Coturnix japonica: one gene and its partner. The protein of the gene in region 1 purifies or fractionates together with the protein of each later gene. This does not show direct contact. Links are inferred from orthologs where the notes say so. Each region holds a gene or a part of one and is shown in the gene's direction. Other genes may lie near its edges. The genes, in order: XRN2 and CDKN2AIP.

What was found.
Region 2: the proteins of XRN2 (region 1) and CDKN2AIP purify together in Homo sapiens (affinity purification with mass spectrometry; 4 studies listed by BioGRID and IntAct, with this or other methods). This does not show direct contact. The link is inferred for Coturnix japonica from reciprocal best matches to the Homo sapiens genes XRN2 and CDKN2AIP.

The regions. Positions count from the first base shown.
Region 1 is NC_029518.1:4,203,432-4,207,241, forward strand, and holds part of XRN2 (5'-3' exoribonuclease 2), read left to right. Parts: intron 1-934; coding exon 935-1,042; intron 1,043-1,117; coding exon 1,118-1,207; intron 1,208-1,631; coding exon 1,632-1,704; intron 1,705-3,746; coding exon 3,747-3,810. UniProt on the Homo sapiens protein: Possesses 5'->3' exoribonuclease activity. May promote the termination of transcription by RNA polymerase II.
Region 2 is NC_029519.1:35,251,247-35,255,720, reverse strand, and holds the start of CDKN2AIP (CDKN2A-interacting protein), read left to right. Parts: upstream 1-1,637; 5' UTR 1,638-1,748; coding exon 1,749-1,969; intron 1,970-2,109; coding exon 2,110-2,240; intron 2,241-3,034; coding exon 3,035-4,474. UniProt on the Homo sapiens protein: Regulates DNA damage response in a dose-dependent manner through a number of signaling pathways involved in cell proliferation, apoptosis and senescence.

The DNA.
Region 1 (3,810 bases):
AAAAACAAAATGTTACCTGATGTGCTCATGTCTGTACTTCTACAGAGTACAAAAGTAACTAATTAAAGCAATACCTTCTCAGCCTGCAACAAATACTGTTCAGATACTCATATAATGTGGAGTGCATCATATCAGGGTTTTCTGGTCCCTCATATTCTCAAGCTAACAGTGGGATTTAGCTTGGAAAAACAGTGCTGCAAATTGTATGCTGCCAGAGAAATACTACTACTACTCCTCTTAAGATCTCTGTTATGGCTTTGACTTGTGCAATTATGCTATTATGGAGAACTTGTGGATTAGTTCTCTCACTCTCAGATATGCTAGAAACTCTACGCAGGTTTAAAATGTGTCTAGTTGCTCTAAGTCACCCCAGGGCATTGTTAACTGTGTGGATAGACTGTGATCACCTGCTCTTGGCAAGACATTTTTGTGTTTGGTTTTATTGGATGCTTTTTTGTGTGTGTTTGTGTTCTCTCTCAAGGGGGAGGAAATAAGCATGAGGTATGTTGCAGCGTCCTGAAGTTAAGGTTAAGATTATGCTGTAAGGTCTTTTGTATTGTTATGGTGCTAGGTCTATCTCTTTGGCTGTCTCCCTTAGTGACTCAGACCTAGCACATAGCAGGAGTACTCTGGCAGAGAAGTCTATCTGCTGTTCTGTGCTGCCAAGGAAATGCCCGAGGTCTCCATTCACTATCCACTGAACTCACTCGCTCTAATCTGGCTATGAAAAATTAAGTCCCAACCTGAAGTCCAGAATACCTTTAGAGGCAAGAGCTCTTTCTTTTCTAATTGTGGGGACTTCTCTTTCTCCTGGTTGATGCTGGGCTAAGTTTTAACAAGTTTAGTTACTGGGCTGTTTGATTTCTATGTTTTTTTTTTTTTCCTTTGCACGTTTGAGTTGTCTCATGGTATTTCTCTTGTTTTGATGTCCTAGGGCTGTGCCTCTTGGAACTGGTATTACCCTTTTCACTACGCTCCGTTCGCTTCTGACTTTGAGGGTATTGCAGACATGCCCTCAGATTTTGAAAAGGGCTCGAAACCGGTAGGGCATATTTATTTATTTATGATTTAACAGCTTGCTAGAAATATCCTACATCTGCTGGTTTACTTTTGACAGTTCAAGCCTCTTGAACAACTGATGGGAGTATTTCCAGCTGCAAGTGGGAATTTTCTACCCCCAACCTGGAGGAAGCTCATGACAGATCCGGTAAGAATCCTTGGTTTATTCCTCTCTGTGAGGGTTTTGCTGCCTTGCAGTTTTTATGTGATCATTACTTGCTGCTTTTGACTTCAGGCAGAAAAGAGACTATTTAAAGATCCTTACAGGCAATTCCTTTTTTGAATCAGAGTTTTCAACAAGGAAGAATTATTCTGTAACTTCTCTGAAACTCATCTGGGGAGCAGAGACCAGTTGTCAGGAGTTCTCCTATCCCACTTAATTTCTTGTTCTGATATTGTAGGCAATGGGAATGCCCTACCAGACTTCTTATTTAAATGGTATTTAGTAAGGGGTGTTTCTCTTAGTCAAAGTTCTTTGCATGTTCCTTACTGAGTGTGAGCTAACAGTTAACACGTGGCATTCTCAGTCAATTCCATAATTGGTTTTAATGATAAATTTTTCTCAAATACAGGAATCAAGCATAATTGACTTCTACCCTGAGGACTTTGCTATTGATCTGAATGGAAAGAAGTACGCTTGGCAAGGTGAAACTTGAGGTTTCTTCTTTTGAACTACTATACATTGGCCTGCAAAAATATGAAGGAAAATGGGAAATGATGCTAGTGAGATAATGACATACCAAGTAACAAGGGTAACTTGTCTTACCTGGTGTGGGGGAGAGGTATTTTGCAGCAGCTGTATTTTTGAGAAGGAATTTCCGCGAGTAATAAATTATGATTTAGAAACTGATATGGGATTGGCAATGGTTAGCAGTTATTTCAGCAGTTGTTCTAGATTTGTTAATTTGTCCTGAGTTAGATTAATCACTTTTCTGTTTTCATTAGTCGTACTATGTTATTGTCTCTTGTCCTTGCATTTAACTAATAGATCTTATTGTGTTTGATCAACAGCTTGTTAGTGCCTAGTGAAAAATGCTTAGTAATACAGAAATACTTGAATGTGTACAGAGAATGAGGAAATAGATACGGTATTAGAGTCTCTTCCTTTAGACAATATTAGTTTTAATGAGCTGCCAATTTTTTCTATCTGGTATTCAGCCAGCAGTGTAACAGCTCTGTTAGATGTATAAATCATGATTGGGGCACAAACTGAAACTCAGGAAGTTCCATCTGAACATAATAAAGCACGCTTTTATTTTTCCTTTGAGGGTGGTCTAACACTGGTACATGCTAACCTGGAGAAGTTGTAGATTCTCTATTGTCACAGATGCTTCTAAGCCAACTGGACATAGTCTTGGACAACCTATGATTGTGCTTGAGGAGGGGTTTGGATAAGATTGTCTCCGGAGGTTTCTGCTAACATCTATGCTGCTGTGGTTCCTTCTCTAAATCATTTCATCTGTGCTTTGAAATAGCCAGCTAGAGACACCAGTGACTTAAATCCAGATAGTGAACCAAAATCAAAGAGAATAGACCTGAGTGTTATATGTTGCTTAGCATGTTTTTGCTCTGCGACGTGAAGGTCTTTTTTACCCCCTGATGCAGTTCAGGCAATTGTCTTTATTCCTTTTGTCTGGTTATCAAATGTACAGTTTAAAACAGTATTTTAAGTAGTAGGAAACTATTGGGTATCATTGGTAGGAAGCTCATCAGTAGAAGCAAGCTGTTGTCATGGTCAGATAAAGCTCTGCTGTTTGTGGTAAGGGAAATGAAATTAAAAACTAGAATAAGAACTCTAGATTAAAACCTATAGTAAAGGTGACGGAATTAAATCTTTTAAAGAATTTCTATGGTAAACTTCTTAGTGCTTTTTAGAGCTGATAATTGAAGAAAAATACTGGAACACCCCGGGGATAACTGTTCTCCAGTTTTATCAAATATGATGAAGAATGGGCTCAGAGAAGTGTTGTGAGATGTGCTGCTTAGTGAGGAATTTTGGTCCTGAGAGGAGCCTCCCTGTTACTTGGGAGTGAAACTAATAGCTAATATGAATAGTCCCTAATGAATTATATAATCTGCATCACCACATGTCTGAACACAGTGATTTCTTCTGTTGTTATCTCCTAATAAATTGAATAAAGTAGAATCGAATTCTGTGGGGAGAGTATCTTTAGCAAATGAGATAAATAATGACTGTCTTAATGACCTCATCTTATTCCTAAATGAAGCAGATATGGGTAGGGGATGCTGCTTCTAAGTGTCTCTCTCCACAGACTGTGAGAAGGGAGGAGGATAAAGGAGTGCTCAGACATGAGTATTCTCTTCTGTCCTATACTACTTTTCCTCCTCTCCTTGGCAGCCTGCAGGGTCCCAGAAACTGATTTTATTGTTATTATTATTTTATCATACTGATGGAACTGTAAGGTAAAGCATTTATTCAGACTTTCCATGCTAGTATCTTTACATGGATAGCCATTCACAAACACCCATTTATCATTCCTGAAACCATAGCTGCTCAGAACACATCAGTTCAGACTCATCTTTTCTCTGCTCTTTACTACAGTGCCTTAGAAAGCTGAAATGTTTGGGCTGTCTATTTCAAGCTTTTCCCAGTCAGTCAGTTTAGAGAGCTTTGGTTTAAAGCATCATTAGTTGCTTGTTGAAATGGGATGATTTGATTTTCATAGGTGTTGCGTTATTGCCATTCGTTGATGAGCGACGCCTTAGAGCTGCCTTGGAAGAAGTCTATCC
Region 2 (4,474 bases), on another chromosome or scaffold:
TTTTTAAAATTAACAGCAGTGTTTTTCTCTCTTTTCTACTAAACACGCTTTTTTTAATCAACTCGCGACACAGTATGTGTCTAATTCTCAGAGAGCACGGCGGGTAGACAACTGTATGTCTGTGTGAGCACGTGCACGACATTCCACACTCTGGGGCTGAGATCTGGCCTGCTTCCAGCATGACACCAGCACTTGGTCGCCTTTGTCCCAAGAGAAAGGCTATGTTGATTCAGAAGCAGCATTGATTAACCACAAATAAAGGGTACAACGTGCTAGAAAGGTGCCAGAGCCCAGAAGATGCTCACAAAAACTTTTTGTGGCACAGAAGCGGGAAGGATTCTGACTTCTCCAGCTGTCATCTGTGGTTGTGTTCACCCATATGGTCAGAGGGCAAGGAAGCAGTCTCTTAAGTCGGGGAAAAAAATGTTGTTCTAATCAGTTCCCGAGTCACTCTAGAACTAGATAATGTGTCAGGCCTTCTAGCTGTACAGAGTGCAATACAGTCCTCAGAAGGATGCCTTTGGAGGAGCCCAGGTCTCACAGGTGAGACCATGTTACCTTACATGCATGGAGTGACCAAGAGCAGACACAAAATTCTCAACTGTGGGGGGCTATCTCTGATGTTTGGCACCAGGAGGCATCATTTCACCAGCAAGCCTGGAAATACCACTTCTGGAATCTCTCCAAGTGTATGGCATTGCCCCTGCCACTCTCTAGAGTCTAATTCACCCAAACTGCTACTCTTAAGTGGTAAGATACTAACCTAGCGTGGACTGGTCCTCAGTAGTTTCACTTGGCAGCTGAGTTGGCTGTGGAGCATTCAAGGTTGTGCTGAGAGCTCTGCTACGTTCACAAGATGACCAGTAACTCAGCAACAGCTACCCAGACCTGCCTGAATTCTTGCCATCCCTGAAGAGCAGCTTTCAAGTCTGGACCAAGCCCTAGCTGTGTTTGTTAGAAAGAGGACTGGTTCTTTGGAGAGCGTTACCAGAACGGCCAGCAGCATGGAGAGCTGGAGAGCACCCTGAGGCCTGTTTGCTAGGGCTTCCATTCCATTGGCCTTTGCCTTTCAGTGTCTGTATTAACTCTGAAGTGAAGAATTGTGGTAGCACGGAGTCAGAGGCATGGAAGACAGGTCCGCCCCATCTCCACATGGAACAACCTGAGTGCCAGTTGCATCCTTCAGGTATTTCAGGTTATTCTGCCTGATAACCCCCACAGGATGGACTGACATCTGGATAGAGTAGTGACACCACACCGGTGATGCGCATGGTGCCATTTCTGAACGTCCTGACACTGTGAATGAAGCCATGTCACTGAGTCCCCCACACAAGGCGCTGCCCTTTCCTTGCTCTTTGTGCCAGGTCCCCCTTCATGCCCGTGACCATTTGTTTGCTCCTGGCACGAGAGAACAGCGGGTGCGTTAACCGACAAAACAAAGGAAACACTTCCGTTCAGACCACGAGGACTGAGAAATCCCGCCGTATCTTTTCCACAGCCCAAACAAAGCCGCAGTGAAACCCGCAGCACGAGCGCCCTCCAGAGGGCGGCAGCGGCACATCCCGCTCTGCCCCGCCCCGCCCACGGCCGTTGCAGCCGTTGTGTCGGGGCCGCCCCTCGCGCCGGTTGTGAGGTCATCGCGCGCGGCCGGAAGGAGCGGGCGGTCGCCGAGCCGTTGTTCCGCCGCGGGGCCTGGCGAGCGGAGCGGGCGGGGCGGAGCGGGCCCCGCGCGGGCGGAAGGAGCGGCCATGGTGAGCAGGACGGCGGGCGAGCCGCTGGGCAGGACGGACGAAGAGGTGGCTTGGGCGGAGGCGCTGCGCGGGGCCTGCGAGCCCGAGCACCACTGGCGGTACCGGCGCGAGTTCCTGCTGCGCAATGTGGGCGAGCCGCCCGCGGCCGGCAGCGCCCAACTGCGGCGCCTCGTCTCCCTGTCCATGGTGTGGGCCAACCACGTCTTCCTGGGCTGCCGGTGAGTGCGCGGCGGGCGGGCGGGCGGGGGCGGCCGAATGGCTGGCGGCTGACGGCGCTCCTCCCCTCCTCCCCATCCTCCTCATCCTCCTCATCCTCCTCCTGTACGTCCCCCCTCCCGTCCCGCTGTCGCCCCTGCAGGTACCCGCCTCAGGTCACGGAGAAGGCGCTGGAAATGGCCGAAGGCATCCAAGTGACCGGCGCGCCCGTCCACACCACGAGAGACGAACTGGTTGCCAAGGTGAAGAAAAGAGGCATATCAAGTAGCAATGGTTAGCAGATAATAGCTGTGACAATACATAGGAGTCTAGAATATGCTTGTGTTGAATGTGCTAGCTTGGCCACGGGTTGACAAAGTAACGGGACGGCTGACTTTTAAAACTCCTCCTTATTTTTTTCCCCTTCTTTTTACTTGTTGATGCCTTTAAAACAAACGTAATGCATATACATTCAGTTGGCAATATCGAGCTCTTTTGATGGCAGTAACACTTCTACAGCTGTTGCCAGCTCCTTTAACATGATGTGGGTGGTTGTACTGTAGCTTATGTGTGTTCTTGTCTGCCTGGTGCTGAAAGCAAAGTAACATTAAAGCTTTGTGAGAAACTCGGTCTTTTGTTTCTTAAAAAAATATCCTAAAATAGTATTTTAAATACATGTTCATGATATTACTTAACAAAATACGCTTATTTTTAAGGTCAGCTAATATGTTAAATCTACTTTGGTCACTTTTGCTTTGGCCTTCAAGAATGCAAATACGTATGGGCCTTCAGATCCCAAACTGAAACTGAAAGTGTAGCGTATGGCTGCTGTTTGTTGGGGTTTTTTTTTTGCCAAACAAATGTTAAAATGATTTGAAACAGTAGGTTGTGTTTCCAATTTTTGTGTCAAAAATTACTAAAATATTCTGAAATAGTGGATAATTATTTGAAATTGCAATTGAAGGTATATTCCCAATAAATACATTTAATATTTGGAGGGATGACTGCTGGGTTTTTTTAGAAAATAAGATAAATCGCTTCACGGTGCAGAAACCCAAAGAGAATAACGTACCTGCCTTGTTTTGCAGAAGGGGTAGAGGAGCCCGCCAAGAAGCGAGCTGTTGAGAAATGCAAAGAATCTAAGGACACTGGACAAGATGTGAAAACAACCAAGGCTGAAGTCCCTATGGAAACAGAGAGCCCGTTGCCCAAAAAGCAGGATAAAGATACGAGCAAAGATTCGGAAAGCTCCCTGTCAACTTGCAGTTCAAATCAAGAAGCACTCACCACATCCATTGCAAAAGCAGAAGAAAAGCCTACTACTAATGCTGAACATACTGTTGAGCAAAGCCCAGCACCATCTTCATCAGAAAAAGAAGCAGGAGAGATTCCATCTAAGGAAGGCAAGTGTGAAAATGTGCCATCACCTGAAAAAGCTACGTTAAGTTCAGGGTCACCGACTGCTGCCCCACAGGCGGTAGCGGTGCCATCGGCTGCCAGCACTAGCGCCCTGCAGGCACCGGCAGTGCCGCCAGCTGCCACCAACAGCACCCCTCAGGCAGCAGTGCCACCAGCTGCCACCACTAGTGCCCCGCAGGCAGCAGAGGTACCAACAGCTGCCGCCAACAGCGCCCCACTGGTGGCAGAGGTGGCACCAGCTGCCACAAACAACGCCTCGCAGGCAGCAACGGTGCCAGTGACCCCTACCAAGAGCACCCCGCAGGCGGCATCAGTGCCGCCAGCTGCTGCCAAGAGCACCCTGCAGGCAGCATCGGTGCCGGTGACTGCTACCAAGAGCACAGCACAAACAAGTGCTGCATTGCTGTCTTCCAAAACCCAAGTGAGTGGTCTACCATCCGTGTCCAAGAGCGGCGCTCAGGCGGGCCCCTCTCTGCTGCTGGCCGCCAAGGGCAGCGCTCAGGCAGGCACATCACTGCTGCTAGCGCCCAAGAGCGGCACCCAGGTGGGAGCCTCGCTGCTGCTGGCTTCTAAGGGCACTGCCAAAGCGGGTTCCTCGCTCCTGGCCTCCAAGAGCAGTGCGGAGGTGGCTGCCTCATTGCTGGCTGCACGGAGCGGCACGCAGCAGGGTGCCTCGCTGCTCACCTCCAAGAGCAGCGCTCAGGCGGCAGCATCTCTGCTGGCCGCTCGCAGTGGTGCACAGCAAGGCCCCTCCCGCATCGGGGCTCAGGCTGCCAAGAGTACACAACTTGCTTCCAAGAGTGGTTCGCAGGCCAGCGAAGGCCCTGCTAAAGCTTTGTGCAAACCGTTAACCAGTGAAGATGCAAAGGAAAGACAGCCTTTTTTCAACAGACTGTATAAGGCCGTAGCGTGGAAACTGGTTGCTGTGGGAGGCTTTAGTCCTAATGTAAATCACGCGGAACTTCTTAACTCGTCTATCCAATCTGTCAAAGCTACGTTAGATGTCGCTTTCGTTCCCCTGAAGGAACTTGCAGACTTACCTCAAAATAAGAGCTCTCTGGAAAATATAGTTTGTGAACTGAGGTGCAAGTCTGTGTATTTGGGTACTG